Linked DNA regions of Rhinolophus ferrumequinum. The protein of the gene in region 1 interacts with the protein of each later gene in a pairwise test. Links are inferred from orthologs where the notes say so. Each region holds a gene or a part of one and is shown in the gene's direction. Other genes may lie near its edges. The genes, in order: SDCBP2, C24H1orf35, TNP1 and YTHDC1.

Evidence for each region.
Region 2: the proteins of SDCBP2 (region 1) and C24H1orf35 interact in binary tests that used the Homo sapiens proteins (3 or more experiments, as listed by UniProt). The two-hybrid records come from large-scale screens. The link is inferred for Rhinolophus ferrumequinum from reciprocal best matches to the Homo sapiens genes SDCBP2 and C1orf35.
Region 3: the proteins of SDCBP2 (region 1) and TNP1 interact in binary tests that used the Homo sapiens proteins (3 or more experiments, as listed by UniProt). The two-hybrid records come from large-scale screens. The link is inferred for Rhinolophus ferrumequinum from reciprocal best matches to the Homo sapiens genes SDCBP2 and TNP1.
Region 4: the proteins of SDCBP2 (region 1) and YTHDC1 interact in binary tests that used the Homo sapiens proteins (3 or more experiments, as listed by UniProt). The two-hybrid records come from large-scale screens. The link is inferred for Rhinolophus ferrumequinum from reciprocal best matches to the Homo sapiens genes SDCBP2 and YTHDC1.

Annotation. Positions count from the first base shown.
Region 1 is NC_046306.1:24,039,463-24,046,382, reverse strand, and holds the start of SDCBP2 (syntenin-2), read left to right. Parts: upstream 1-3,900; 5' UTR 3,901-4,003; intron 4,004-6,920.
Region 2 is NC_046307.1:1,636,109-1,643,881, forward strand, and holds C24H1orf35 (multiple myeloma tumor-associated protein 2), read left to right. Parts: upstream 1-4,985; 5' UTR 4,986-5,121; coding exon 5,122-5,215; intron 5,216-5,329; coding exon 5,330-5,480; intron 5,481-5,577; coding exon 5,578-5,623; intron 5,624-5,698; coding exon 5,699-5,781; intron 5,782-5,943; coding exon 5,944-6,016; intron 6,017-6,119; coding exon 6,120-6,280; intron 6,281-6,710; coding exon 6,711-6,830; intron 6,831-6,919; coding exon 6,920-6,977; 3' UTR 6,978-7,272; downstream 7,273-7,773. Other genes in the region: MRPL55 (39S ribosomal protein L55, mitochondrial), read left to right, coding at 168-193, 1,695-1,896, 2,191-2,340.
Region 3 is NC_046291.1:18,127,640-18,133,646, forward strand, and holds TNP1 (spermatid nuclear transition protein 1), read left to right. Parts: upstream 1-4,900; 5' UTR 4,901-4,924; coding exon 4,925-5,063; intron 5,064-5,264; coding exon 5,265-5,293; 3' UTR 5,294-5,491; downstream 5,492-6,007. UniProt on the Homo sapiens protein: Plays a key role in the replacement of histones to protamine in the elongating spermatids of mammals.
Region 4 is NC_046288.1:27,395,447-27,403,361, forward strand, and holds the start of YTHDC1 (YTH domain-containing protein 1), read left to right. Parts: upstream 1-4,898; 5' UTR 4,899-5,003; coding exon 5,004-5,031; intron 5,032-7,915. UniProt on the Homo sapiens protein: Regulator of alternative splicing that specifically recognizes and binds N6-methyladenosine (m6A)-containing RNAs.

The DNA of each region.
Region 1 (6,920 bases):
GAACGGAGGAGGTGAGGGCCCAGATGGCTGGGCCACCAGGCGGTGGGGCCTCTCAGGGTGCTAGCCTGCCTCTCGCTGGAAGCTTCTATAGTAACCATCGCAGGGAGAGTCCAACCTAAACTCATGATCCTGAAAGGATGCAGGTAATTTCTGTATGTTTGATCTTCAATCACATTTAGAACAGTAATGGATACATTTTGTCACTTGGACAATGCAATAATCCAATAACGTGGATGGAAATATAATTGTTCAAATTTAGTTAGCACTTCCCATGAGTCAGGCATTAAGCAAGTACTTTCTCTGTGCCCCCCAAAAAACAAAACAAAACAAAAAAACAAAATGAAATCATTCTCCCCATCTCACCGGTGAGGAAACAAGGCCGAGAGAGATAGGGTCATTTGCCCAAGGTCACATAGCCTAAGAGGAGGTATTTGAGCCCAGGCAGCCTGGGATTCCACAGCTCATGCAATAAGCTGTGCCCCCTTCAGGATGTCCCCTTGGGGTACGGTGTTACAAGTTGGAATCTCTGATAGGGGCTGAGGTACCAGGTGGGACTAAGTGGGGTACACGTGTGAGGGAGTGTGAGCCATCAGCCCGCTGGGCCTCTGCTCACTAGGGCCCTCGGCTACCACCTGGAAACCTGTGACCACCTGGACCCAGCGGTGCCCGATGGGAGACTCCTGGAGCCCTGGAAGCCCCATTCAGTTCCTAGTCAAGACCTGGCCTTTCTACTCGGGCTGTGCGGCCTTGGGCAGGCTGCCTCCCTCTGAATGTGGGGCTGCTGTGAACAGAGATCAGGGTACATCCCATACCCAGCACAGCACCCAACGTGGAGAAGTTGCTCAACAAGGGGAACTCTCCCTGTCATCATCTGATGGCACGATACAGCCATGGGGACATAACCTGGGTTTTGCTGCACCGTCCAGATTCCACGTAGAGGGTAGGAGCACATCGCTGGTGCTTCTCTCTACCCAGCAGCCAACCATTCATCCCCCCTTCTTCAGGTAAGAGCATTTTCACCTGCAGATAACTTGTATTTCTATAGCGTATAGCTGGACTGATTCCATGAAGAAGTCGGAAACTAACATTTATTGAGTGCCAGCTGCGTCCTAGGTGCTGTACTGACTAAATAATCCTCAGGACAAGTCAGTAAAGCAGGTGCCAATATTCCCATTTGTAGATGTGGAAACTGTCGCTCAGAGGTGTGGTGACTGCAGCATCCGATCTGGGGCTCGGACCTGATGCCCCCGCCCAGCCCAGCCTATCTCCTCAATAAGCCAGCCATTACCTTTATAACTGGGATTGGCTTTTCTAGGAGGGGCATTTATTCGTTCAATAGACTTACTGCACCTTACTGAGCCTACTGTGTGCCAGGCCCTAGGGATAAGAACCCCACAGAAAAGCCTGTCCTCATGGAGCATCCATTGGGTGGCACAGAGGTCTCACTTCATGGGCCAAATCCAGGTGGCAATAGCTGCCTGTGACATTCTTGTAAGAGGACTGAGTCAGCCCTGGGCTTGGCGGAGAGTACCGTGGCTGATTACTCAGGTCTGCCAGGGGTGCTGTTAGGGCATTTCTGCGTGTAGGCTGAATAGTAGACACCCGTGTTTTAGATTTCTGAAGATTGTTCATAAAAAAGTGTAAGAAAGCAGAAATACATCCCGGTCAGAGCACAGGTTCCAACTTTTACTTTGAAAATTACCACTGTAGATCTAATAACTAGGCTTTGCCCTCAGGGAACTTAGGGTCTAGCTGACAGTCTACACTCCACATGAACACAAGGTGATTACCACTGAAGAACGAACTGTAAAGTCTGATCCAGAGTTTAGAGGCAGGACAGGCCACATGACGGGGACAACCAGGGAGGCTTCCTGGAAGAGGAGCTCAGAAGACTTGGCTAGGTGGAGTGGGGGCAGGGGGGAGACATACTGGAAGCAACAGCACCAGGCAAAGGTATGAAGGTGTGAAGCGGGTGTGAGTGGAGAGGATTCCAGTCTGGCTGGGGTAGAGGTGCTCCAGGGACAAGGTTGAAAAGGCCACAGGGGCGGGAGAGGGGTGGGGACCACGGAGGCCTCAATGTCAGGCCTGGGAATTTAGTTCTGACCCTAACCCACCTGATTTGACCCTTTAATAGGGGGCCACTGAAGACTTTGAGCAAGGTTATGCCCAATGAAAGGTACTTTTTGGTGGTTGGAACAGGGTGAAGTCAGGGGAGTGGCTAGAACACCACGGAATGGAAAGAGAGCCCCGCGTAGGTGGGGTTCGGGGACCTGGGACCTGGTCCCAGGTCTATGCTGATGTGCTATGACCACAGCAAGTCCTTTTCCTTCTTCTCTTAAAGGCCCTTTCAGAACATGGCTGAATGAATTGTGGTCTCTGTGTGTGTATGTGGGGGGATGTCACTTGGTTCTGTCAGGGTGTCTGTTTTATACTTTTCTTTGGCCTTCAAGACCTGTCACCATGGTTTACCTCATGTTCCAGGACCATGTGGCTCAGCCCTGGCGTGTGTCCACACCTCAGCTTCAAGTGGCATTTGTCTCACAGAAGAGAAAACGTGACCTTGGCGCCACTTTCCAGCTGTGTAACACGGAGGGACTCTCCTCTCACGCCTGCTTCACAGGGATGAAAGGAGCCACGGAGATGCTGCCTTGAAAGCACCTGACGCAGTATCTGTTGCTCGGTGGGCAAAGTGCTCAATTAGTGGCAACTGCCTTTCTTGCCATTACTGTTCCTGTTATGTTTCCTGTTATCCCCTCCCATGGGGCCGGACACCAGCTGGGCCCCTGGTCAGGATGTGGTGCCCAAAGCTAGTGCAACTCCACCCAGGCTTGTCCTGGGGACGGTGACTTGGGCCTGCCTGGCCTGCTGAGCAGCCCTGACACTCACCCCACCCTGTGAGTGGGGCGCCCTGTGTCATTCGGAAGGGACTTCCCAGCACGTGGTCCCAGTCTCTTCCCAGGCACCATGTGTGACAGTCACCTCTGTACAACCGAACCTACCAGGACCTAAATTAAATCCCTCCCCCTTTTCTGTTTAATTTTATATGATTATTTTTTGGGCTCAGTAGTACAAATTTTTCAAAATGTAAAAGGCACTAAAATGTGTGCTATTAAAAAAAAAAAAAAGTCCCCTCCCACCCAGCACACAACCCTTCAGTTCCCCTTACTGGGGACAACCAATCTGAATTCCTTTTTAAAACAATTAAATTTAATTTGCTCTCCCCTTACAAAAATCATAAGCATTCAAAGCAAAACAAAACAACACCCCCACCTTGGAATACATCCAAAAGCACAAGCCAAAAACCCTACCCGTAATCCCACCATCCAGATTTCAGCATTTTAGTATATGCCCTCCCAGACTGTTTTCAATACATACCCACTTTTCAAACAACGAAAACAAAACACAGTATCACAATGTTGATTTCTCAGTACCTTGCCAGTGTCTCAGGGCCACTTCCTTATGGCTTCTTCCTTAAATGACTCTGATAGCTGTGCTGATATTCCAGACACTTATTTAACCACACCTGTGATGGGCATTTGGGATTCTAGATTTCCCTATTATCAGCAACATGGTGGTGGGCCCTGGGACCTCACTGCCTACCTATTTATTTTCTTGTAACGAATTCCTAGAAGAGAAAATGCTGGGTCACAATTTTTAAGACTGTGGAAATTCAAAAAACTGCCCTCATGTTCAGGACTGGCGTCTGATCCAAGTATGATTTCCTCAACACCAAGACAGCTTAGTTCAAACTCAACAGCTACCGCGCCTCCACATTTAGACTAAGCCAAAAGTCCTCCTCTGGGCCTGGTGACCTGCTGTTTACCCAGCCACAGAGAACTACCTGGGCCTGTCCCAGTCCTGGGTGAGTCAGCTGATCAGGGAGCGGGCACCACCCTTCCCAGAGCAGGAACTCAGCTGGGACAAGGGCCACCACCTTCCAGGGAGGGAAACAGACTCTCTCAGCAGTGGCAGGAGAAGGACGTGCAGCAGCTCTAGCCTGCAGGTAAGATCCGGGGCCCCCATATGGGCTGGGCTGCGATGAGAGAGACTTGCTCTCCCCCTGTCTCCCCCTCCTGGGACTTCCCAGGCAGTTTCCTTTCAAGGTGCTTCACTCTGGGAGTGATGTGTAAACTGGGGTTCCTCTTCTGACCCCAGCCCTGGGCCAGGTTTGAGGGATGAGAGGTTATTTATTCAGACGATGGCCCCAGGCTCCTTCTGACTGCCTCTGAGGGTGCTCAAGGAGATGGGACCCACCTTTCTTTGCTCCTTGAAAGGCCAGGCAAAAAGCCAATTTTCACAAGGAACTGAGAGTGCCAGTCTGCTACTTCTCTGCCTGAAGCTGTTTCTATCAACAACTTCCCTACCACGCAAGGAAAACGTGCTGGGGAACTGGGTTGGTGGCTTAACCTCTTTAAGAACTGGTTTCCTCATTTGGAGACTGGAAATATCCCCCGTCAGGAGAACTGAATGAGAGAATGGAGATAAGGGGCCAGGATGTGCCCTCCACACAGCTGAGTCCCAGAAACAGTGCTTAGAACAAGGCTCATGTGCCAGGCGGGCACTGCACTGGCTGCTTTATGTGCAGGGGCCCAAACTAATAACTATCCTTACACCGCCATCACTTCCCACCTGGACTCCCTGCATCCACGCTGGCTCCTCTAGTCTATGCTCCAAACATTAGCCAGAGGGAGCCTGTTAAAATGAAAGTTGGACCACATCACTCTGGTGCTCAAGTCTCTGGTGGTTCCCATCTCACTGGAGTAAATGTGAAGTCGTTGCTGTGACCCACAGCCCTCCAGGATCTGGCCCCTCTCACTACTTCCCCAACCTCCTCTCCTGCTACTTTCCCTCTGAAACACCGACTTCAGTCGCACTGGTCAGATGTTCCCTAAACGCAGCACTCCCACCTCAGGGCTGCTGCAGTGGCTCTGCCCTCAGACTGAATGCTCTTCCCTACCCTTTAGGCTTTTACTTGTCACCCCTCACCCCCCAGCAGTGAGGCTCTCTGGACCTCCCCAAGCTCTCTGGCCTACATCTTCCCTTATCTTTTTCCCCATCACTTCCCACCATCTAACACAGCATACACACTTATTTATCCAGCTAGAAAGCAACATTCCTCAAGGGCAGATTGGGGAAGAGGAACAGGACTTTACTGGGGAAGTGTGTATTTCCAGGACTTTTACCAAGTCAAGTTGTTGTGCTTTCAGTCTTAGTTGTAGAGGGCGCAGCTCAGCTCCAGGTCCAGTTGCCGTTGTTAGTTGCAGGGGGCGCAGCCCACCATCCCTTGCGGGAGTCGAACCGGCAACCTTGTGGTTGAGAGCCCACTGGCCCATATGGGAATCGAACCGGCAGCCTTTGGCGTTAGGAGCACGGAGCTCCAACCGCCTGAGCCACCAGGCCAGCCCCAGTTCACTGCCTTATTACTGGTACCCCTTATTACTGGTACCTAGAACAGTACTGGGACTTAGGCACTCAGTAAATGTACTGAACGAACAACAGCTAAACAACAGCTAATGATTACTGCATGGCTTTTATGTGGCCTTTATGTGCTAGGTACGGTGCTAAGTGCTTTCCACACATAGCTTTTCTGTTTTTAATATAAATTTTATTGGGGAATATTGGGGAACAGTGTTTCTCCAGAACCCATCAGCTCCAAATCATTGTCCTTCAATCTAGTTGTGGAGGGCGCAGCTCAGCTCCAAGTCCAGTTGCCATTTTCAATCTTTAGTTGCAGGGGGCGCAGCCCACTATCCCTTGTGGGAAGTGAACCGGCAACCTTGTGGTTGAGAGCTCGCACTCTAACCAACTGAGCCATCTGGCTGCCCCTCCAGAAGCTCAGCGGCAGCTTGTTGTCTTCAATCTAGTTGTGGAGGGCGCAGCTCACTGGCCCATGTGGGAATCGAACCAGCAACCCTGTTGTTCAGAGCTCACACTCTAACCAACTGAGCCATCCGGCCGCCCCTATAGCTTATCTCTTTTAAAGAATCTTTTACTCTCCGCAATAACTCTGTGATGCAAGTATTGTTATCTATATTACAAAAGAAGAAATGATATTCAAAAGGGACTTGTCCATGCTTGCTCTCACAAGTCAGAGGCAGCAATCTGAACCCGGTCCTCCCTGCTTCCCTCCAAGGTCCTTGCTCCTGCCATTTCTCCTGGGCCTGGATTCGGGGGTGTCTGCATTCCTGAAGAAGTCCACAGCTTTTCTCCAGCAGGCAGTACACGCTGGGAGGAGGTGGTGGATATGTACTGGTGGCCTAGCAACAGCCTCTTTCTTTCCGACTCACCATTTCCCTGGGCTAATTTGGCCTTCCAGGAGCTATTCCTCTGACAGTCTAACCTACGCATCCCTCCCGCACAGTCTTCTGAAGGATGGATGAGTTGTCCACAGGAACAAGTGGGAGTCCCCTAGTTTCAGCTCTTTGGAACAAAGTGTTCCAGAGGAGTGTTCTCATTCCAAGTCCAAAGATGGGGACTGACAACCCCGCTTCAGCCCTGCTGATCTTTGAGGACCTGATTGCTGGCTTGGGTATTGTTATTGCTCATAATATCAAAAAGTACAGAAGTTGAGGGAGGAAAATTCTGGAAAATGCAGTGGGTGAGGAAAATTTCTCTGGGAGAGATGGGTTAGATGGGTTCTTTTCCTTTCAGAGGCAAATTGCAGGAATCCATCAGCACCAAACTGAGAAAACTCTTGAGCACTCTTCCATCGTCAGATTGTAGGAGGTAGCCTTTCAATCTGCTTCATTAACCCAGTGATTTTTCTCCTTTTCTAGGCCCAGGGTTTTTTTTTCCAAAGGACTTTTTTGGGCTTTCTTTTCCCTGTATCTGCTTTTCCACTCCCTTAAAAACAGTACCTAGATGCCTGCTGGGTGCAGGCACTGGGCTCAGCACTGAGGATTCAGACATCAGAGACATTC
Region 2 (7,773 bases), on another chromosome or scaffold:
GTTTGGGGACGTGATTGGGTCTGTGGCTTTCTTCCGGGCTAGGGTTTGAGGAGGATCAATTAGGTAGAAAAGCCTGCCTGTTAAAAAGATTTCCTTGCCCAGCAGGTTTCACGCTGCGCCTGTGACTGACCGTGGGCCTCCACATACCTCAGGGGCCCTCAGGAGGAATGGCAGCCATAAGCAGCCGGCTTGGGTAAGCACAAACTTCCACACCCCTTGGGATTGCTGTCATGGGGCCACCCAAAGGAACACCCACTCGGGCTTCAGGCCGTGCTGCCTGAAGGAAGCTTCCTGAGCCAGTGTGTTTATTTGGATAATATGCGCAAGTTCACGTGTGGATGACTTGACAAGGTGTCAAGGGAAGAATGGAAGCGACTTTTGACTTCCCAGCACCAGATATACACCTTCCTGTTCAGAACCTACAGCCGAGCCCAGCTCTGGGTCCCTGTAGGGGCCGTGGCCTTCCTGCTGTTCCCACCAGAACTGCTTCCCCATCTGCCCAGTGCCCTGGTCCTCTGGCCTCCCCCAAATGGGAAGCATAGTGTGGCCAGTGTTGCCAGAGGAGGAAATGAGGGCAGGATTCATGTTGTTTCTGTGGAATATGGGAAGAGGGGTGCAGCACTTGAAGCCTGAGTCAGTGTGGAGAGGGGAAGGGACTCTGGCAGCAGTGTTCCCTGGGGGGCCCTCATCCTGGTAAAGGTTCAAGTGGGAACCACTGTTATAGTGGGAGGACACCACCATCTCCTTTCTCCTGTCTTGCACTTCTCAAGGCAGGGACTGAATTCATTTGGCCAAAATTTATTGAGCGCTCAGCTCAACAGGGTCTGGGACTTAACAGTAAATAAGATGCAGTTCTTGCCCTCTGGCCATTAGAGTCTAGCAGAAGAGATGGGCCCTCCGCCCCCAGTGTTAGCTGGGAAGTACAGGGGGTGGGTCTGAATCCAAGTTTGCTTGAAAGCTAGAGTGGAGGGGACTTTGGGGGTCACAGGGCAAGGCCCCAAGTGGGTGCGACAGGTGGACGGTGGGCCTTGCCCTTTCCTGTCATCTCAGAGCATGTGCTCTGCCGTGTGCGGGTCTCAGTGTCAACCGTGTTCAGAAGCTGAGTGGCTTCCAGGGGTCTTGGTGTGCTCAGCCTGCCCCAACAGAACATCAAAGAGCAGGCAGCTTGTTTCCCACAGTTCTGGAGCTCTTTCTTCCTGGATCACAGACAGCCGCCTTCTCCCTGTGTCCTTACAGGGCAGACAGAGCAAGCGAGTTCCTGTCTTTTATAAGGGCACCAGTACCACTGGGGGGGCCCACTCTCATGGCCTCATCTAATCCTAATCAGTTCCCAAAGGCCCTGCTCTTGATGACATCTTATTGGAGGTTAGCACTTCAACATGTGAATTTGGGGGCACAAATGTTCGGTCCACAGCACCAGGTCTGCCGTCCCTGGAAGGCAGCTTCCTGCTCCATGCTCATGTCCAGGGTTCCACACATCCAGAGACTGCTGGCCTGAGCCCTCTGTCCACAGCTGTCTGGGAGCCTTGTGTGCTCAGCTCCTGCAGCCTCTTCCCAGACATGGGGTAGGAGCTGCTCTGACCACATTCCACATCTTGGGGGTCACTGCGTGCTCCAATATGCGCTGGCTGGCCTGGGCTACGTGGGCGCTCTGGTCCAGCTGACCTGCCGCTGACCAGTGTATGTGTCTGCAGCCTGCTGCCGCAGTGTGTGGTGACAGGGGCCGTCCCTGTGTGCCGTTGCCTACACACATCCGCCTGGTGGGCTGACAGCAGCAGAGCTTCGCTCACACGTGTGCACAGACAGGCCTATGCTCGCCTCTACCCTGTGCTTCTGGTCAAGCAGGACGGCTCCACCATCAACATCCGCTACCGGGAGCCCAGACGGATACTGGCGGTAAGCTTCCCTCCTTGGGGTGCAGGTCCCATTGGGCTCAGAATCACTGTGGCTAGAAGGGAGAGAGGAGTGCTGGCAAGTGACAGAGCAGGATTGTTATGGAGAGGAGGAGGGTGACACAGCTCATTCCATGCGCCAAGTTCAGACAGCAGCAACAGGCTGTATGCAGAAAAAAACACGTCCTGAGTAAACAAGCAGAAGAAATTTTTTTAAAGCGTAGCTTTGAAGGGAGAGAAGGGGAGGTCCGAAGACCCTTCTGGTCCCTTCCGCTGAGTACACGTCTTCCCTCCACAGATGCCAGTGGACTTGGACGCTCTCTCCCCAGAAGAGAGGCGGGTGCGGCTCCGCAAACGTGAGGCCCAGCTCCGAGACAAGGAGGAGGAGCCGGAGCTAAGTGATAACTTTGACCTGGAGCAGTACAAGCAGTTTTGGACCAAGAAGTGACCCTGTCCCCAAGCTGCCCTCGCCTGTGATGCTGCTGAAGGGGAAGGGTGTTTATCTTTCAATGGAATGTCAGCATTTTAAAACCACCTAGTCTTTTCTTCTCATGCACTAGCTGGAGGCGGGTTCTCTGCTTCCGAGCCCCCTGGTGGGCTTAGAATTGGGTCAAATTGTGGTTTTAGGACAGTCCTCAAAGGGCATATGAGCTGTGGACATAACTGATGTCCTGGGTGCTCCTCCCACTGTCGGAAGCGCCCGCTACCGCCCAGCAACCCTCTGGGCCCTGGATCCCCCTCTCAGTGGGTACAGCAACTGGGGAGTGGGTAGGATCCAAGGATATGTGTGCCTATCCTGTACCTTGCCTGCCCTGCCCCTCACTTGGGCTCCTCAGTCCTGTCGGCTCGCAATGGGAAGGTGCTTGGCCCATGGGAGGGGCCGAGGGGTGCGGCCAGCCCTGTTACTAACTGCTCTCAGATCTTACCTACCAGCCAGACTTTCTTTCCACAGTGGGCTGCAGCCGTCTGCCTCAGGGGTAGGTTTCATGCTGGCTGGGCTTCCTGCAAGAACTGAGGGGTCAATTCCCAACCTTTCATGTGCAGGTGACCCAGCCCAGGCCTGCACCTCATCCTATCCCGAGGGGTTGAGTGTGGGATCCTGGCTGTTAGGCTCTTTAAACCTTGAGGGCCCATGATAGAGTGCTGCCATTTACATGGTGGGGAAGGCATTCCAGGCATGAGTTGGGAGGCAGCAGCCTGTGGGAAGTAACCCCGCTTCTGATGGCGGCTCACAGGGAAGGATGCTGGGCTGAGCACCCGGTCCTAGCTGCAGTCCTCCCGCTGGTCCACTGAGCACGCCAGCTGGCTGTGTGCAACTCCTGCGGATGTCTGCCCTGCAGGCTCTGCTGGCCTTCTGGCCTGCTCAGGGGCATTCCCACGTGGGTGACCTTCCCGGAGCCCTTATCCTTCCAGCTGCTGCCCCAACTCCCTGCTCACCAAGTACCTTGAGAGATGCCCAACAGCAGTGTTTGTACTTGCTGTTTAGGGCCAAGTTATTCATGACATTCGTTGAAGGTGGCAAGGCAGGCCTTACCAGAGTACGGCCGTGGCTATGGGCGCAGTGGGGGGGAAGAGGCTGAGTACTACTCTGACAAGTGGAAATTTGTGTGAGGCGCAGGACGGGGTTGCTGATGGGAAGTTACTAAGAGGACCCACCCCAGTGGGAGTGCTGGCTAAACCCACCTAATGGGATTGTTGGTGTTTTTTGTTTTATTTTTTTTACAGTTAGTTGATATTTAGTATATTTTGGGTGTAATGGAATTGTTGAATGCAGGCAGGCAGATCAGATGTCCACGGGGAATGAAGAACCAGACTGGATACGGAGGGTGGGGGTTCTTACCAGAGCTGGCAGTGCAGAGATGGATCCGGAGGTCCAAGGCCTGGTTGGAGAGCTCTAGAGAGCCTGAGTGGTCAAGCAGAATCCCATCTGTACTCCTTTGTTGGGGGTGGGACCTCCCTGCTGCCTCTCTGATGCAGCCTGCGTCCTGTCATGTCACCCGCCTTGGGAGGTTACTTTGCAGTGGACACTGGTGACCCCCAGTATCCAGACCTGGGTTGGGCCTTCCCCAGGGGGCAGCGGGCTGGGGTGAGATGGGGTAGCAGGCTTAGAGCTGACCCTGCCGCTCCCAGTGCCTCGCAAGCCCCTCTACCAGCATCTCATCCTTGTCGGGCATGGCAGTACTGCCTCTGCAACAGCTCTCACCCACCGCAGCTGCCCTGTGATGCTCCACGTTTCCCACCGCAGCAAAGCTGGGACCCTGCAGAGGGCACACCTGTGGCTTTGGACCTGCTGTCCCATGCTGGAAGCCCCCGACTAGGTGCAGGGACAGGTCTGGAGCTCCCATGTGGGGAAACCGAGACCAAAACTTGACTTAGTGGTAGTGCAGGGCAGGGTTGGGGCTCAAACCGTTACTTTGTCACTGGGAGCTCCAAAACCTCAAAAGCAAGTGAGGGAGTCAACGGGAGGCGGGTCAGGAGAGCAGTTAGGGACTCTTCGTTGTCCTCCACTGAGTACCTGGGGTCTCGTGAGCGGGACACGCTAGAGCAGCCTCCTGTAAGAACCCGTACAAAGGACAGTGTAGAGCAGGGGATGGTAATTAGACCATTAGACCGCTGTCTCCAAGTCCGGTCTGTGACCAGCGATGGTGACAGGCGAGACGCATTTGTACGTCGACCAGCCCGCTGAGCCATCAGCAGTTAGCAGCAGGTGTTCGTGTGGAACCTCTGCCAGGGCTTGGGCGCACTTTCTCCCCGGCGTTGCTGCAGACCAAGAGCAGTGCCATGTGCGTCCACGCCCCTGTGACCACAGCAGGGTCCCCACACCGTGTCCACCCCTTGGCTCCCACAGCCGCGGACGTGATGGCAGAAACCTTGGTGCAGCTGGAGACTTGTCTCTCCAGCTGTTCTCCGGGGTTGCCCGTCTGCTGGATCCGGCACACGGCGCACACCAGAGACTGTGACTTTTGGGCACCGACCCTGGATCCTGGCGTCACCACACAACGTGACTTCTATAACGGCGGTCGTGCCAGCTGGTCTCGGGTTTAGCTTCGGGGCTTTGCCCGCGCGGTCCGGAGCGCTGCGCACGCGCGAGCGAGGGTGGGGACAGTGCGCAGGCGCGAACGGCGACGCGGCTGGCGCGGGCATGACGTTACGGCGAGCGACGTAGGCGCCGGAGCAGGCGCCGCGGTGGAAGGGGAGAAGGTCCGGGGGCGGAGGGTCGTCGTGCACCATGTTCGGCTCCAGCCGGGGCGGCGTGCGCGGGGGACAGGACCAGTTCAGCTGGGAGGACGTGAAGACCGACAAGCAGAGGGAGAACTACTTGGGTGAGCGCGGGTGTTGGGGGTGCGGGACGCAGGGGTGGTGGGGCGCAGAGCTGCGGTCTCGGGGGTCGGGGGCGCGCCCACCCTCGCGCCAAGGACTGGCCTCCGTCCTCGCAGGCAACTCGCTGATGGCCCCGGTGGGCCGCTGGCAGAAGGGCCGCGACCTCACCTGGTACGCCAAGGGCCGGGCGGACGGCGCGGGACTGAGCCGGGAGGAGGAGCTAGCGGCCGTGAGGCAGGCGGAGCAGGAGGCGCTCATGGCGGCGTTGTGAGTGCACCGGGGCTGGGGACCTCCGAGGGGCGGGGACGCGGCGGGGGGCCGAGGCGAGGCCCGCCGCCCGTGACGCTCGCGCGCGGTCCTACAGAGGCTACAAAAACGTGAGGAAGCAGCCCACCGGCCTGAGCAAGGAGGTGAGGAGCAGCCCTGAGGGGGCGGGGTGGGACGGTCTGGGACCGGGCTGACCCGTGCCGCCCTCCCTCCCGCAGGACTTTGTGGAGGTCTGCAAGCGGGAAGGTGGTGACCCCGAAGAGAAGGGAGTAGACCGGCTCCTGGGCCTGGGGAGCTCGAGGTGTGCACCGGGGGTGCTCCTGAAGGGCGGGGGCTCAGAAAGCGCCAGGGTGCAGCTCTTAGGGGCTCGGACCTGTCAGCTGCCTAGGTGGAAGGTGGTACCCGCTAAGGAGGCCTTGGGGGAGGTGTCTTACGGGGGAGGGTCTCACCCGTGTCCCCGCAGTGGCTCCGCAGGCCGAGTGGTGTTGTCCCGAGAAGACAAGGAGGCGGCTAAGCTGGGGCTCTCCGTGTTCACGGTAATCACTTCTAAGTGGGATCTCGTGGCCGGGTCTGTGTACCTCTTCCCGTTGAGGGCCAGGGTATGGGCTGTCTCTCGTCTCCCCTCGGGGGCCCTCCCAGCTTCTTGGCCTAGGACACCGGGTCTGGTTCTCCCTGGGGAATCTTGCACGCCTCCAAGAGTGGCTCCCTCGGCAGCACCACCGCATGGAGAGCAGTCGCCCAGGGGCCTCGCCGTCCCGGAAGAAGCCCCGGCTGGAGGAGAAGGCGAAGGCAGAGCTGGGGTAAGGGCTGGCTGAGTGCCACAGGACTCGGGGTTCTCTGCACAGCTGGCTCCCATTCGAGTCGGTGATGTTTTTGTTTCCAGATCCCTTTTCCTTCTGGGGAACCTCTCAAGGTTGTGACCCCAGGGCAGTCCCAGGCCTCGTGTCCATTGAGGTCAGGCAGCACCATGTTGTGAGCTGCAGGGTGGAGGGGCTCTGGAGACCGAGTGAGGCGTATGGGGTTCAGGAGAGCACACCACCTGGCAGGGAGGGTGTTAAAAGGGGCCATGAAAAGGCCCCTATCTGTGTCCCCTACCATGCTAGCTGCTGGTCATGTGATACTGAGGATGGGTCAGTGGTTACTGTGGTGGCCCGCACAAGCCTGTAGGCCCCACACCCTGTGAGACCCCTATAGGCCAGCGGCTGCTGGCACTCTGTATCCCCCTTGCAGCTCTGAGAGCCACAAGAAGAGCAGAAAAAAGAAGAAGAAGAAGAAGAAGCATAAGAAAGAGAAGAGAGAAAGGGAGCGCAGGACGGGGGCAGCTTCCTCACTGTCCGCGGCTCATGCCCGGTAGGTGCAGCAGCTCTGCCTGGAGGCCCTGGGAAATTGGGCCAGACAGTGGGTGGCCCCTCACACTGGGCATCCCCTGCTCTCCCCAGGGCCCGCCATCGTAGACACGACTCCGACTCGGCCTCGCCCTGCTCTAAGAGGCGGTGAGGGCACGACAGTGACAGGCTCAGCCCACCCCAGCCAAGTGCTGCCCTCAGGGAAGCCTCAGCATGTGCCCTGCCAGGCCCAGGAAGCTGGAGGGCAGACTTGTGGGGGCCCTGCAAGCAGGCAAGGTGTCTGGGTGAGGCCTCAACCTCAGATGGCCACAGGCCCACACAGCTGCCCAGGTCCAGCTTCCCTAGGTCCCAAGAGTCTAAGCTGTGACCATGTACTGCTTTTTGTGTTGACCCTCCTTTTGTATTTAAATAAACTTATTTTAAGTGGAAAATGTCTCATATTGAAGTGAAGGTTGTCGTGTCCTCCAATAGAAAGTGATGAGTGAAAATGTGGCAAGTGCCTTGGGTTCCAGCAAGACCACCCGAGACCCCACAGGGAGGATGACTTCCTGTTGTGCAGGAGGGTGGAGGGACTCAGCTGCAGGTGGGCAAGTGCAGAGAGGCGCAGCCAGATGGGGTGTTTGTAAGTTGGAGGGTGGGGGGCAGGAATTGTACCTGAAGACACCCTCATTCCCCAGGCACCTCCTGCCCTGGTCCCATGCCGCCCTAATTGCCTGCTGAGTCCGCTCTGCTGCTCCCAGGTTGGGTGGAGTTCCAGGTGCCCCCCCCAGCTCTTCTGCCAGGAGGTGTGTTTTAGCCATTCACCACCCCATTCACAGAAGAAATAAAAACTTAAATCTTACATCTGCATCGGAGTAAAGACAAAACCCAAGTTGGATTCACTTATGAAATATATTCAATTTTGCTTCTGATTTTTAAAGAAATAAAAACTAAAAATGATTGTCTTT
Region 3 (6,007 bases), on another chromosome or scaffold:
TACCACAACAACCCATTTCTAACACTCTCGGATGCAGCCTTATGTTTTGTCTTATGGCTGGAGGGCACTATATTCCCAGTGTATTCTGGGAAGGGACAGCTTCTTCTTCACTATGTCATAGATGGGGATTAGGTCAGTGGGGTCAGGAGAGTGGAAAACATTATTTGGATCCTAATGAAGAATAAATTGTGGGTTTTCTTTGTATACTTCTGTATCATGTGGCCTCATTGTTAGTGGTGACAAAAGAAATGGAAATAGTCAATTTTTCCTGAGTCCAAAAATAACAACAACAACAACAACAGAACTAAGGGAAGTTTGAATTCTCTCCAAATGAGAATTTTAAATTTATCCAGAGGACCTCCAAGTTCATGCCCTGCCTCTAAGAACATACTAGTTTTTCCCAGTTCTCCCTCTCCCTTCAGTTTAGATTCCTTCACTCTGCTCCTAGTAGCACATGTAAGAGAAAATGCAAATAGAGTGGAGAGTCAAGGTCAGATCTATTTTTAAGCCAAGTACGGAAGGTAGTATGGAGTGGTGGGCAGTCTCCGTCTTGGGGATCAACAATCCTGTTGATTGTTGATGTTGTGGCTCTCGAGCTGCCTGGGTGCAGCCCTTAGACAGGCCTGATGACCTCCAAAAGGATGGTGCCCAGGAGGAACCTCCCAGGGTCACAGCTCTTGTGATGAGTCTCCCACCTTTCAGCATCCCAATCTCTCTATCCTTGGAAAACAGGAATCACTTACAGAAAGACAGTTTGGGGATGCACTCAGAAAGGATGGGAAAGAACCCTGAAGGAAAAATTGGAAAGAACTCCAACAAATCTTCAGACAGAACTCAGGCTGTTCTCAGAACCGAGATGGTCCCTTGTTTCCCAGAACTGGATAGGAAGAGGCAAATTGAGTTAAAGTACCGCCTTCCTTTTTCTCTGAAAATCACCCTAGGCCTTGGGCTCTGGCTTCTCTTTACTTCCTACTGGAGACACCAGATGAGTACTGAGCTCAGAGAGTTTTGCCTCTTGGGTAGACCCCTCTCTAGGCATCTTTCCCCTCCTCAAGACTGCCCAAGCCCCATTTGCCTGCCTGAATAGCAGCAGCAGCAGCAACAGCAGCAAGAGCACAGAAGACAGGGTGTGCATGTGAACAGGGGAGAAGGTCCCCCTTTCCCAGCTGAGGTCAACATCTGGAGAGACTTAGGTTTCAGAGAGGGATTCAGACTGAGTCATGTATCAGGACTGTCAGCAACTTTTCCATGTTCACGCTTAATGAGCTCCCATTCCCTGCCTGCTGGGAAAATCCAGCCCTAGGAAGAAGACGTCCATTGGACTCCCCAGAAAAATTAATGGAGTGATTTTGAATCAAAGAGGTGAGATGGGACCAACCAGAGATCCAAAACAGTGATGCCCAAAGTCCATCCCTTTCTAACCTATGAAAGGGGCCAGAGGGAACAATGGTGGTCTCCAAGCCCGTCCCTGCAGTGCCACTTTAGCCATCCTTCTAGGAGATAAAGACACTATTCTGTCCAGGCAAGATAACACTCACCCCCAAGAGAGAAGAAGCTGATAGACCCTCCTCTAAAGAAGGCAGGGATTCAGTTCTCTCTCCATGTACCAATAACTATCAGAAAATATCGATTTTCTTTCATCAAGAGAAACAAAAGCAAAGACCCAACAGAAAGCCAAAGTATGGAGTAAACAGGTTTATTGGGTGTCTCTTCTGCTCCTGTTCTGGGTTACTTGAAGTAGCTCACGTAGCCAATCTGTACCTCAGTTTCTTCATCCAAAAAGAAAATGAAAAACAGAGAGCAGAAAGGTGAGGAGACAGTCAGCAGAAGGTTCTCAAAAAAGGCTAGCTCTGGGCCCACTGAGGTTCTAGAGTGAACTCATTGTGCTCTATCTAAATTGCCATTGGCCCAAGCAACACTGACGCAGAAATGGAAAGAGAAACAGAGACAGAGGTGCCAATGCTCAACCCTGCTCTGTCCTCACTTCAGGAGGTCTGATGCAGAAGCCAACCCAAACACACCAGAGCCCCACCCCCAACTGGCCTCTGAATTGCCTCCCCCAGCACTGGGCTTTCTGCTGCTGGAGTTTCTCAGCATGGGTGTCTAAAACCAGAACTATTCCTTAACCCTATGGAAAAGGGCTTTTTTGTTTGTCTCTTCATCACTTCTCAAGTCTGGCTGTCTTCTTTCCTGTGATCTCAACTTCTTCTTGGCAGAGTGGGTCTTTTGAGGATGGGAGAAAGAAATATTACCCAGTTTCAGGACCATCCATAAAATGCCTCTCAAACTAAAGAGGAGGAAAGTCAACAGAGTCAGGCATGAGAGGCCAGCAACGGAGAACCAGAGGGTCTGTTATGGAGACAATGTCTTTTTTCCCTTCCCTGTGGAAGTGGAAATGCATCCACTTGGTATACCACGTCACTCAGTGTTGTACTGTCTGTCCTTATAACACCAAAGTAGCTAGAATGAACAAATATTTATTAACCACCTGCTCTGAACCATGTCAATACCTGTGAGAAATGCAGTGTAGAAATAAAAAATACAATCCCTAACTACAACAAGCCTGCCACAAGTCATATCATCTTGTGATATGACTTGAGATTATCTAACCCAACAAGCTTATTTACAAAATAAGAGAGCCAAAGTCCGGGGAAGTGATGGTTGTGGCCAGTCAGGACCAGAACCAAGCTACACTGCCTCCTGTTAAGATCAGACTCACACATGGGACATGGCATGTGGGCACAAAAGAGGGTTTTACACCATTAGCATTGGTTGTCCAGACTTTGAGGACAATGTTATAGGGCCATAGACCTTGAAAAAATTTCAAAGGACAGTGAAAATGTGAAAAGTCAGGGACGTCTTCCTTGGGGTGGTAGGACAAAACTGGGAAGACTAGGATAGTCCAAAACATAGGATTTTTTTGTTTATTCAACAAATATTCCATAAATCTTCACTGGGCTCCTACTCTGTGCCCTGGGAATATATAGCCGGGAACACCATTTTTAAATTCCTGCTTTCATGAAACTTGCTTGTAGGAGGAACAATTAGCCTGGAGTGGACAGAAAAGTTCCCAAGATACAAAGAGGCAAGGCAGCAGCCTGTTTCATACAGCTCTTTCCTCTTTGGGTGAAAAAATCTCTAATGGAAGTTCGCCAGAGAGACCTGCCTAGAAACAGGAAAATGGAAAGTGTCACTTATGATGGCTCTTCAAGGAATCTGGGTTTCAAGACATGATTTGTCTTCTCATCTATAAACATCAGAAATACAGGGAGTGGGGCTTGAACCACATTCTTACTTTTATTCAACCAATTTTTGCTGAGAACCTACTACATACAAGATGCAGAGGATAATGGCGGTTGGGAAGGGGGCGTGGAGAGAAGGAAGGACCCAGGGGAGAGACAGAAGACACAGTTATCAAGTTCCACTGAAATTTTTTTTTCAAAAGGACTCAATTCAAGATATAAAGGAGGAAGAAGAAAAGATTGGATGATGAGTCCATTCTGAGGGAAGTTGGGGATAGTGAATATCTCCAGCTCAGGCTCTACTCTGAACTCTAGATACATATACCCAACAATCATTCAGTATCTTTATTTGGAAATCTCAAGGGCCCCTCAAACCCAAAATGTTTTAGACTAAAATGCATGATCATCACTGCCGTTATGCTTGGCTTTTATCTCAGTGAGTGGCACCAGCCTCCAGATAGCTGCATTAGAAAAAACAAAAGCCACCCTTGATACCCTCTGCTCTCGCCAACTAAATCCAACCCATCAACACCAAGTCTTTGTCTCCTGTCTTTTTTCATCCCAATCAACACCCTCCCTGGCCTGGCCTAAGTCATTATCAAATATTTCTCTCTTCTTAACCTCTACTATTGACAATAGCCTCTCCCCTCATTCACTTCACTTCTCCATTAATTCATCCCCACCCCCACCCCACCCCCTGCAGCCTCTAATCTCGTCATGTCATCTTAAATATTTTTCCATGGCTTTTCAATGTACGTAAGCCTGGTTTGCCTCTCTCTCCCACCTCATCTGCACCATGTAGGGAAGTAATTATTCACTGACTGGTGTAGATATCAGATGAATGACTTTCTTCCCCACTGGATTGAAATCTCCATGAACACAGAGTCTACGTACGTCTGTTTTTGTCCACTATTGTCTTATCACCTAAGTGTGTGACACATACTATGTGATCAGTAAATATTTGCTGACTGAATTTTTTTAAAAGGTGAAGTCAATGGTTCTCGGCCATGGGTGATTTTGCTTTTCCCCTCAAGGCAATGTTTGAAAATATGTTTGGTTGTCACAGTTGTGGGGACTCTATTGACATGCAATGGGAAGAGTCCAGGAATGCTGCCAAACATCCTACGCTGCACAGGACAGTCCCACAAAATGACTCCACCCATAATGCCAGCAGAGCTGATGCTGAGAAACCCTGATCGAGGAGAAAGCAAGGAATGTTTATGTTTTAATCTCGTTGAATTGGATCTCTTAGAGTCAAATCCCTATAGAAACACACTTGTTATCTCCCAATGCCGTAGAGAGACTTAAACACACATTTTATACAGGCACTCAACAGCCATTAAATTTCCTACAGGCAGGCAGGAGATACCTATATTAAAAGCTCTTGTACTCCCCAGAAGCTCCGAACAGGACTGAAATTTAGTTGCTCAATAACACCTGTCTGAAAAGCCTCATTTGACCTAAAAAATCACCTCAAAATTGAGGGTAGCCTTGAGCTGCACTAGAGGGGCCACCTTATTTTGCATATATGACCCAAGTGTAACAAAAGCTGGTGACAGCATAATGGAGCCTCACCCACCTGATAAGCCACACCCCTTCACAGTCACAATGGCTAAGGCCTTAAATACCCAGATTCGCGCCCTCCGGGCCCTGCAAAGCCCCTCATTTTTGCAGAAATTGCAATGTCGACCAGCCGCAAATTAAAGAGTCATGGCATAAGGAGGGGCAAGACCCGATCTCCTCACAAGGGAGTCAAGAGAAGTGGCAGCAAAAGAAAATACCGGAAGGGCAGCCTGAAGAGTAGAAAACGGGGCGATGATGGTGAGTGAGGGATGAGTAGAACAGTCAAACATGTGGGGACTTGTTGCCCTAGGGCTCTCTGTCTTGGAGTTAGCTCTCCTAGGACCCTGACATCTCAGCCTGAGACTCTCATTTCCATTCAAATAACTGTTTGGGCAGGAAGACTATGAATGGGTGTGTTCTAACTGGTGTCCCTGTTGCAAACATGTCCTTCTCCCACAGCCAATCGCAATTACCGCTCCCACGTGTGACCCCATCAGTGGGCTCTGGCCTGGTGAACTTCACACAACACCAGGCAGCAAAGAGGACAGCAGGAGGACTGCCAAGGAGACCTGAAGTTAGATCAAAGCCAGAGAAGAGCCTATCGTGTGGGTAAAATGCCAGTCGTGACGAAATGAGGAATGTATATGTTGGCTGTTTCTCCTCAATGTCTCAATAAAATTCTGAAAACTGAAAAGTATGTTTATTTTGACATTTTGGTTGAAAAAGGGGTTCCTGAGCTAGGCAGACTTGGAAGAATTAGCCGGTATGAAACCATTAAACATAACTTGGAAAATACTAAAGTAATCTGCCCTGACTCCCTTTTCCCCATGTGCCCCAACTCTGGCCACGCATGTTTGGGTTTGGGTCTTGGTCTCAATGTGCTGTCTCTCTCCCCAACGTGGAAAGGGAGAGGAGACAAAAAGGGAGAACTGCATTTATCAGAGTGTTGATGGGCTAAAGGATACAACCTTCTTCGAGGGACTTATAAGGAGACACCAAAACACATATGAAACTAAAACTAAAGGCATGTCCCGGAGGTAGAAAACACCCAGAGGTAGAAAACACCCAGAGGTATTTATTGGACAGGGTTAGCAAACTATTAAGGGATTTGATACTCTTACTAGTCGAGTGGTTATGTTAGGTTTGAGCTGGACAACAAGGATATTGCCTGAGAAGTTCAATTCAAGCCACATGGTGTGACC
Region 4 (7,915 bases), on another chromosome or scaffold:
TTCGGACAAGTAGCTCTAGTTCATTTTTAATGCTGTATTGCATAACTGTATATGAATATAATACAAATTATCTATGCAATTCATGTTGTATTTCAGGCCTGAGTATGAATGTGTCACACTTTATTGATTTATGTATCGCTTTGTCTTACTAAGTACAACTCTGTCTTGTTTACTATAGTTTTATAATAAGTCTTTTTTTTTTTCCAAGTCAAGTTGTCCTTTCAATCTTAATTGTGGAGGGTGCCATTCAGCTTCAAGTTGTTGTCCTTTCAGTCTTAGTTGTGGAGGGTGCAGCTCAGCTCCAGGTCCAGTTGCCATTGCTAGTTGCAGGGGGCGCAGCCCACCATCCCTTGTGGGAGTTGAACCGGCAATGCAATCTTGTGGTTGAGAGGACTCGTTCCAACCAACTGAGCCATCCGGGAGCTCAGCGGCAGCTCAGCTCAAGGGGCTGTGTTCAATTTTAGTTGCAGGGGGTGTTGCCCACCATCCCTTGCGGGAATCGAACTGGCAACCTTGTGGTTGAGAGCCCAGTGGCCCATGTGGAATCGAACCGGCAGCCTTCAGAGTTAGGAGCACCGAGCTCTAACCGCCTGAGCCATGGGGCCGGCCCTATAATAAGTCTTGAAATCAGGTAGTGCTAGTCCTCCAAAATTGTTTTGGTTTTCAAAATTGTTTTGGTTATCCTAGGTCGTTTTCATTTCCCCACAAACTTAAATTCACCTTGTCAATTTCTATAAGAAAGGCCACTGTGATTTCAATTGGAATTGCTTTGAATCTGTATGTCAGTTTAGGGAGAACTGACATCAATACTGAGTTCTCAATGCATGATGAGTAAGTATCTCTATTTAGGTCTTCTTTGATTTCTCTCAACATTGTTTTGTAGTTTTCAGTATATTTAAGTATTTTTTTATGCTGTTGTAAATGTTTTAAAATTTCATTTCAAACTGTTGGTTGCTATATTTAGAAGTACAATTGATTTTTACATACGACATTGTGTGTTAGGTATCTATTACTGTGTAACAACACACGCCTAAATTTAATGGCTTAAAAATAACTTTAGTATTTATGATCTCTCTCAGTTTCTGTGAGTCAAAAATTTCAGAACCACTCAGCTAGGCAGTTCTGGCTCATGACTTGCAGTCAAATGTTGATTAGGACTGTAATCACATGAAGACTGATCACTGAACTTGTGTAGATTGGATTTATGCTTTATAGGTACAGATCTGGGGAAAGCCCAAGTTGTTTCTGAAAATACAAGACTCTTCAAATTTTGTTTTCCCTGTGGATCTTACTGGGCATTGGTTTTAGTCTTTGAGTAGGTCATGATTAGACTTTACCTTAGGCCAAGGTCCTTATTCTTATGGTGTGGCCTTTCTGGTGTATCAGCTAGATATCAGGGGCTTGATGAGGTACTGATGAGGTCTCTCCTTAGAAGACCTAAATCTCCAAAGTTCTCTACCACTGCTCTTTCCCTAGCTTTGTTTGTGCTCTAGTATCTCTCTTCTAGTATCAACTTAACGGTGGCTTAAATCTGGTAATACTTTCGTGGTTCTTCCCTGCACATGGTTACCTCTGGGCACTTTTTATTTTATTTTTATTTATTTATTTAGTGAAAGGAATAAAATTATATTAATAATTCAAAACTCATCATGGCTACGAAAATTCTGTTAATCTTAATTCTGAATTTATACCATCAATTTAAAAGGAACTTCACCCTTCAGAATCTGCATTATATTTTAAAAATAATGTTGTCATGATCCCTGAAGTCTGAAGAGAATTGGCTGTACATTTTCAGTTTACCCCTCTTTACTTAGGAAATCATCTGCATCCATAACTAAGCCAACTAAGCCAATCTATCTAGAGTCATTTAATACTACATTTTCTGATTAATTTTACCAACAATAATTAGTAGAACAATCTATCTTTCCTGAACTACAGAAATGACAACAGTAGCTCCAGCTTATTGAACACTTAACTGCCTTTTTCTAACCCTTTTGTAGCAAATCTTTGAAACTAATTCCTAAATTCTCCTTTATAAAGACACTAAAGATTAGAGGTTAATTTCTCTAAGTCTTTATGCTTGTGAGTGGTAGAGCCAGAATTTGTACTGGCTCATTGTGACTGCAAAGCCTGTGCTCTTTATCACTACACAATCGTTGACTTGAATAAACCAACAAGGCTAGAGTTCAATCCATTATAACCTTGAAAACTTTTCCTTTTTATTAACATAATGAAAGAAAATCATATTTTTAAGAAGTTGTGCTGTATTTTTACGTAACTTTTGATATCAAAGATTTAAATATAGGATATTTACATTAAAGCTTATTTTCAATTACTTCTTAGTACTGATAGGATAAATATGGAATAGGGAAAACGTCATCTTAATATCACCTCTATTTTCTTGGCTGGTTTCTCTTGCTCTGCCTTACTTTAAAATTATTAAAGAAAATGTCAAATATTAAAAAAAAAAGGTAGAGAGTATGTCTATTCACATATGCATAACCCAGTTTCAAATCATGGGCAAGACTTATTTCATCTATACCCCCCCACCCATATCCTACTGCCCTCTACCAGTATATATTGAAGTAAATCCCAGATTCCGTATCATTTCACCTGTAAATATTTTAGTATCATGAAATTATAAACATTCTTTTCTAAACATAACTTATTACAACCAAAAAATTAACAATTCTTTCAAAATCATCAGACTTTCATTCATTGTTCAAAGCTTGCTGGTGTGTGTATTCATGTATCCAAATTGGTAGCCGAATAAGGGCCAGAGTATTAGTTTTGTAGCGCTGCTATAACAAAGTACCAGAAACTGGTGGCTTAAAATAGAAGTTTATTGTCTCATAGTTCTAAAAGATAGAAGTCTGAAATCAAGGTGTTGACAGTGCCGTATTTCTTCTGAAACCTATAGGGAAGAATCCTTCTCCTTGCTTGTCTAGCTTCTGGCTTTTGCTGGACCACTCCAAACTCCTTGAAGAGAGAAACCAGATACTACGCTATATGTATTTTTTTAACCCCAGAGCCTATAATAAATTTGGGACTGAAAAGGAATTTAATAAATACTAGTTGACTGAACAAAAGAGTAGAATATTATACAACGCTTTTATTGATTCAGCTTCTTCTTACCTAACCATTGAATATCAACCTGAATTGAACCATGGGCAGATACGCCACTTAGTACTCTTTTTATATGAAAACCATCTTGCCCACCACCCTTGCCCTTTCTCCCCTTCATCTAAGCCAAGTCTTTTATTTCTCAACTAGGCTTTATTTTCTGTTTTCCTTGACTCTTCTCTATCCTGTATCCCCTCCCCAGTCGGAACGACATGCCCCTAAGGGCTCCAATAATATCCTGAGCTTACTCTATATGAGGCAGTGTGTATTATCAAGTGGGTGGGGGCTGGAGCCAAATTCCCTGGGTTTGAGCCATATTACTACTACTCCTGATCTTCTGCACTTAATTTCATTATCACTTCACTTTCCCTTTATGTAAAATAAAGCTAGTAATATAGCTTAATTGGTTTTCTGGAAGATGAAATCAGATTGTGTAGGTCAAGCGCTCAAAACAGTATCTGGCCCACAGTAAACAACACAATTTTTAGCTGTTATTCTTACACAGTAATTCCTGTTACTTTGTTTCTTCCCTATGTTACACTAAAAATTCCTTAAAGGCAGAAGTATTGCCTGTTCACCCTTGAATCCTAAGCATCTGATACATAGCTGGGTTTTGTATTTACTGAAGTTTCTTATTTGTGTTCTTCCACTGCTTAAATAAATCTTTCCACTGCCTTCAGTTTGGTCTCAATTTGTTACAATGACCATCAAGGACCAAGACACTAGACTTTCTCTGAACATGTCATTTGTTTTCATATAACAATGTTACCTTTTTTCCCCTTCAAATTATATTTCCTTTATAAAGCCAGTTATGAAGTAGTGAAACAAAATTATTTTCATTCCTTTGGACAATCAACTTAAAGTTTCCTTGCAGATTTTACCATAATATGTAGTTAAGTAATTTTTGGTCACTTCAGGAGTTTCAATTTCTCAATAGTCTGTTTAAATCAACTGTGTACCCTAGAGCCCCCATAAATGTTTAAATCAAATCTGTTATGTGAATTACAAAGCCATTTTAAAATAAAGATAATTCATTTTCCCAATTAAAAACAAAACTAGTAGGTTTTTGTGACAAGTGAGCTGGTTGCATCCTGAGCTGCATCTGGGAAGGCCCGGCACACCAACTTAGAAAGCACATTTAGTACCCAGAGCCGGTAAAGTTGTGGGGTGCTGCCAAGGGACCGGGCCAGACTTGTCCTAATTAAATCTTCGATTCCCAGAACTGAATCAGGAGTCCCGCGGAGCGACAGAAAACATCTTTGCCCTGAGGCTGGAAGGTCCGCCAGTAGGTGTTTCAGGTGAGGAAACCGAGCTACCTAAACGCAGTAAACGCAGCCGATTACCCGTAAATAACTCACACAGCCTAATCTCTGGAAAGCCTTATTCCAGGGACATCCGGGCTGCAGGGGGCGGGGCGACGTCCTGACGTTATGTCACGTTCTCTTGCTTGTTCCGCTTCCCCGCCCCTCTCCGCACTGTGACGTTCCCAGGGAGGAACGAAGCGTAAACAGCGCAGGGCATTTCGGGAGCGGGAGTGTTTCACGCAGGAAGCAGGCTCCATTTTAGCGCCGCTGGCCGTTGCCATCTGTTTCCCTACCCTCCCTGTCGCCCCCTCCCGTCCCCAAGTCTCAACGGGTAGGCTGGGCCTAGGCCTCCGGAGGCTGGAGTGCAAGGAGGGAAAGGAGAAAGGGAAGGAACGGGGAGAAAAAGGGTGAGTCGCGAAAGGTGAGTGGTGGAGGCCAAGGTGCGAAGCGCGCAGCCCGGCGTACGGACTGACGGACGTGCCTGTGCTAGTGCTGCCGCGGCTGGGGCCCCCGCGCGAGTCGCGTCGGAGCGGCGACGGCGGCGGCGGCGGCAGCAGCGGAAACAGGAGAGGAGCAATGGCGGCCGACAGCCGGGAGGAGAAAGGTTAGTGCGAGGAAAGGTGACGGGCGGAGGCGGGGCTCGGCAGTGGGTCGGTGGAACCGCGGTTCTGGGTTGCGGGATGGGGGTTGGGAGGTTAGCTTCCCGACATGGAGCCGGTCCCCCACACCGAGACGCTTGAACTCATTGGAAGAGACCAGGCCTGCTCTTTCGTTCGGTCTCCATTTCACTTAACACTTCATCTAGCCTATGGTTTTTCTTTGATCCTAATTCTCCTGTTCACTTTCCGTTTAGCTGTCCTGGGCGCGGCTGAGAGAAGGCCTGTTCTGAGTTGCAGGCCCTTAGGTTTATTTCCTGGCAGGATTATGCGTATGTAATGCGTATTTTCAGCACATCCTTTTCTGTTAGGCTACATTTCAAAATCCCTTAATGCCACGATCAAAGCTGGTAGTCTAGTAAGTGAGCATATTTAAGAAGTCGTATGGATGGATTATTGATCTCGAGAAATACCTACAAATAACTTCAAGCTGTTTTTGTTATATGGGCAAAGTGGAAAGAATTGCCCCTTTGGTTCCTCGAATACTTATTTTGGAAGACATGACGTTTGAAAATAGATAATTGTATGAGTTAGGCCTGGCAAAAAAAAAAAAAAAAATCCTGGCCACTATTTTGATGGAAACACATTGTGTGTAGCTCCCAGAGAGTATAATCGGGAACAAATGGGTGTAATTTGTAGAGAGCTGGAGGGATAAAATCATGGAGAAATATAGGAAGAACTGATGTATCAGAATGGAACCTCGTGTCTTTTAAAACACCGACCTCAGACCTAGAGATGTGAATGAATGTAGGTCCTGGGTCAGTACATGTCTGGAGAATGGTGTAGGCTAGATGCTTCCTTAAGTTCTTTTCCAGCCCTAAAATGAGCATGATAGTCGTGGAAAGCTTGTATTTGATAAAGAAAAAAATGTTGCACAGTTTACTGCCCTGTATTTCACAGACCTACCTTCCCGTGTGCCTAATTAATTTGGGGTAGGGATTTGTTAAATGGGCTCTAGAGTCTAGTTGCACTAGGCCTGTGCTTTTTTCTTAAGTTTTCTCCTTAAATGTCTTCATACTTCAAATTGCTCTAGGATAGGGGCAAGTTTGGCAAGGGGAGAGGGTGGGAATGTTTTTAAGATATTGCTCCTATCTTAAAGCAGCTCAATGATTAGGTTATAGTAGTTTAATTTTTTAAATGAATTCTAAAAAAATCTGCATCCCCATTTTTTTGGAGAAATCAGAATGTGAACATAGGATTGCATGGTGTTAGTGAATAAAGGAAACTGCTTTTAATGAGTAAAGTCAGTTATTAAACTAGATAATTTTAATCAATAATAATTAGTCAACGTTTGATTGTTTCAGAGTGTACTCTTGTGAGCTTTGTGTATAGGAGTGGATGGACAGTGGTTGTGGTGGGTGAAAAACCAAATACAATGAGTAAAAGTCAGCACTCTGAAGAATTCATTGTTAAGATGAACGTAGTTATAAATCAGTAATAGGCACAGTAATGTACATTGAGGAAGGAAAGTGGGTGATGTTTTGAATATTTTGTGTTGGAAACAGATTTATTGATGATAATGCAGTTCAAATACATAAATTTTATAACTATAATTGGGGAGTAGAAATGCCACTTATTAGCAATACTTAGTATAAATTGTCAAGTGTTTGAAAGGCCTCACATTTGTGTAGTTTTTAAAAACTTGATTTCTATAATTGAACTTACATATTTTAAAACTTCTGATATAAGTGCTTATCTTTATAGTTTAGATCAAAGATTATCTAGATTACTGGGGAAGCTAGCAAATACAGTCCTACTAGAATTGCTTATTTAATTTTGGAATGGGAAGATTTCTAGAATAACTCATTTTGCAAATAAGGAAACAGGCTTGGGGTGTTTCACTTACTTGTTTGTTGTCACACAGCTAGAATAATAGCCAGAATTAGAATCAATACTTGACTCTTCCTTCTCATACTTGAACAAGAAAAAGTGGGAAGCTAAGTACTTACTGTCATCAGTTACTTTAAGAAACATTAGAAAATTATATAGATAACCCCTGCAAGAATCTTACACATGTCACATACCTTAGGTCCCTTTTAAATGATTTCATAAATGGGGTAAGATTTTGATAAGAAATGAGTTTAATTTGTAGAGATTTCCTATTAATCACCAAACAGTCAAAAGACTTTTGGTTATAAAGTCATTCGATTATCGGGCTTTGCACATTAGCTGTGTAATAAACACATTAAGTTCTATAATGGTCTGTGGTACCCATACTTATAAACTGAAGCCTATATAACTGGACAAATTGCCAGCTGCCTCTGATTCCTGTGGTGATTATTGGTCCCAGAAGTAGATTTGAAGGACATTGGAATGTTGGTGGTGGTAACTAATGTTAAATGCCATTCCCCCCCCGCCTTCAAGCTGTTGTTTCTATCTAGTTGTGTAGGACACAGCTCCCTGGCCCATGCTCGTGGTATTATGAGCCTTGCATTACCACCCCCAAGGCAGTCGGTCTTCCGTCATTGGTCGGCTGCTCACAGCAGCTGGTGGCAGCTCTAGCTGGCTGCTCTCACTGGCTGCCAACCTCTCATACGGGCCACCAGCTGCCCATGGCAGCACACGGTAGCCCATGCCGACCTCCAGCTGCTCACAGCAGCCCACCTCCAGAGAGAACTGTTGTTCACAATCTTAGCTATAAAGGGTGCAGCTCAATGGCCCATGTGGGAATCGAACCGGCGACGCGCTCCAACCACGTGAGCCACCGGGCTGCTCCAAATACAATTTTTCTATATGAGGAAAAACACATCTTTTATATTACAAACACCTTGTATGAATTTTAGGCTTTTATAAAGTTCTCTCCAAAGCATATACGTTATACTCCTATACATT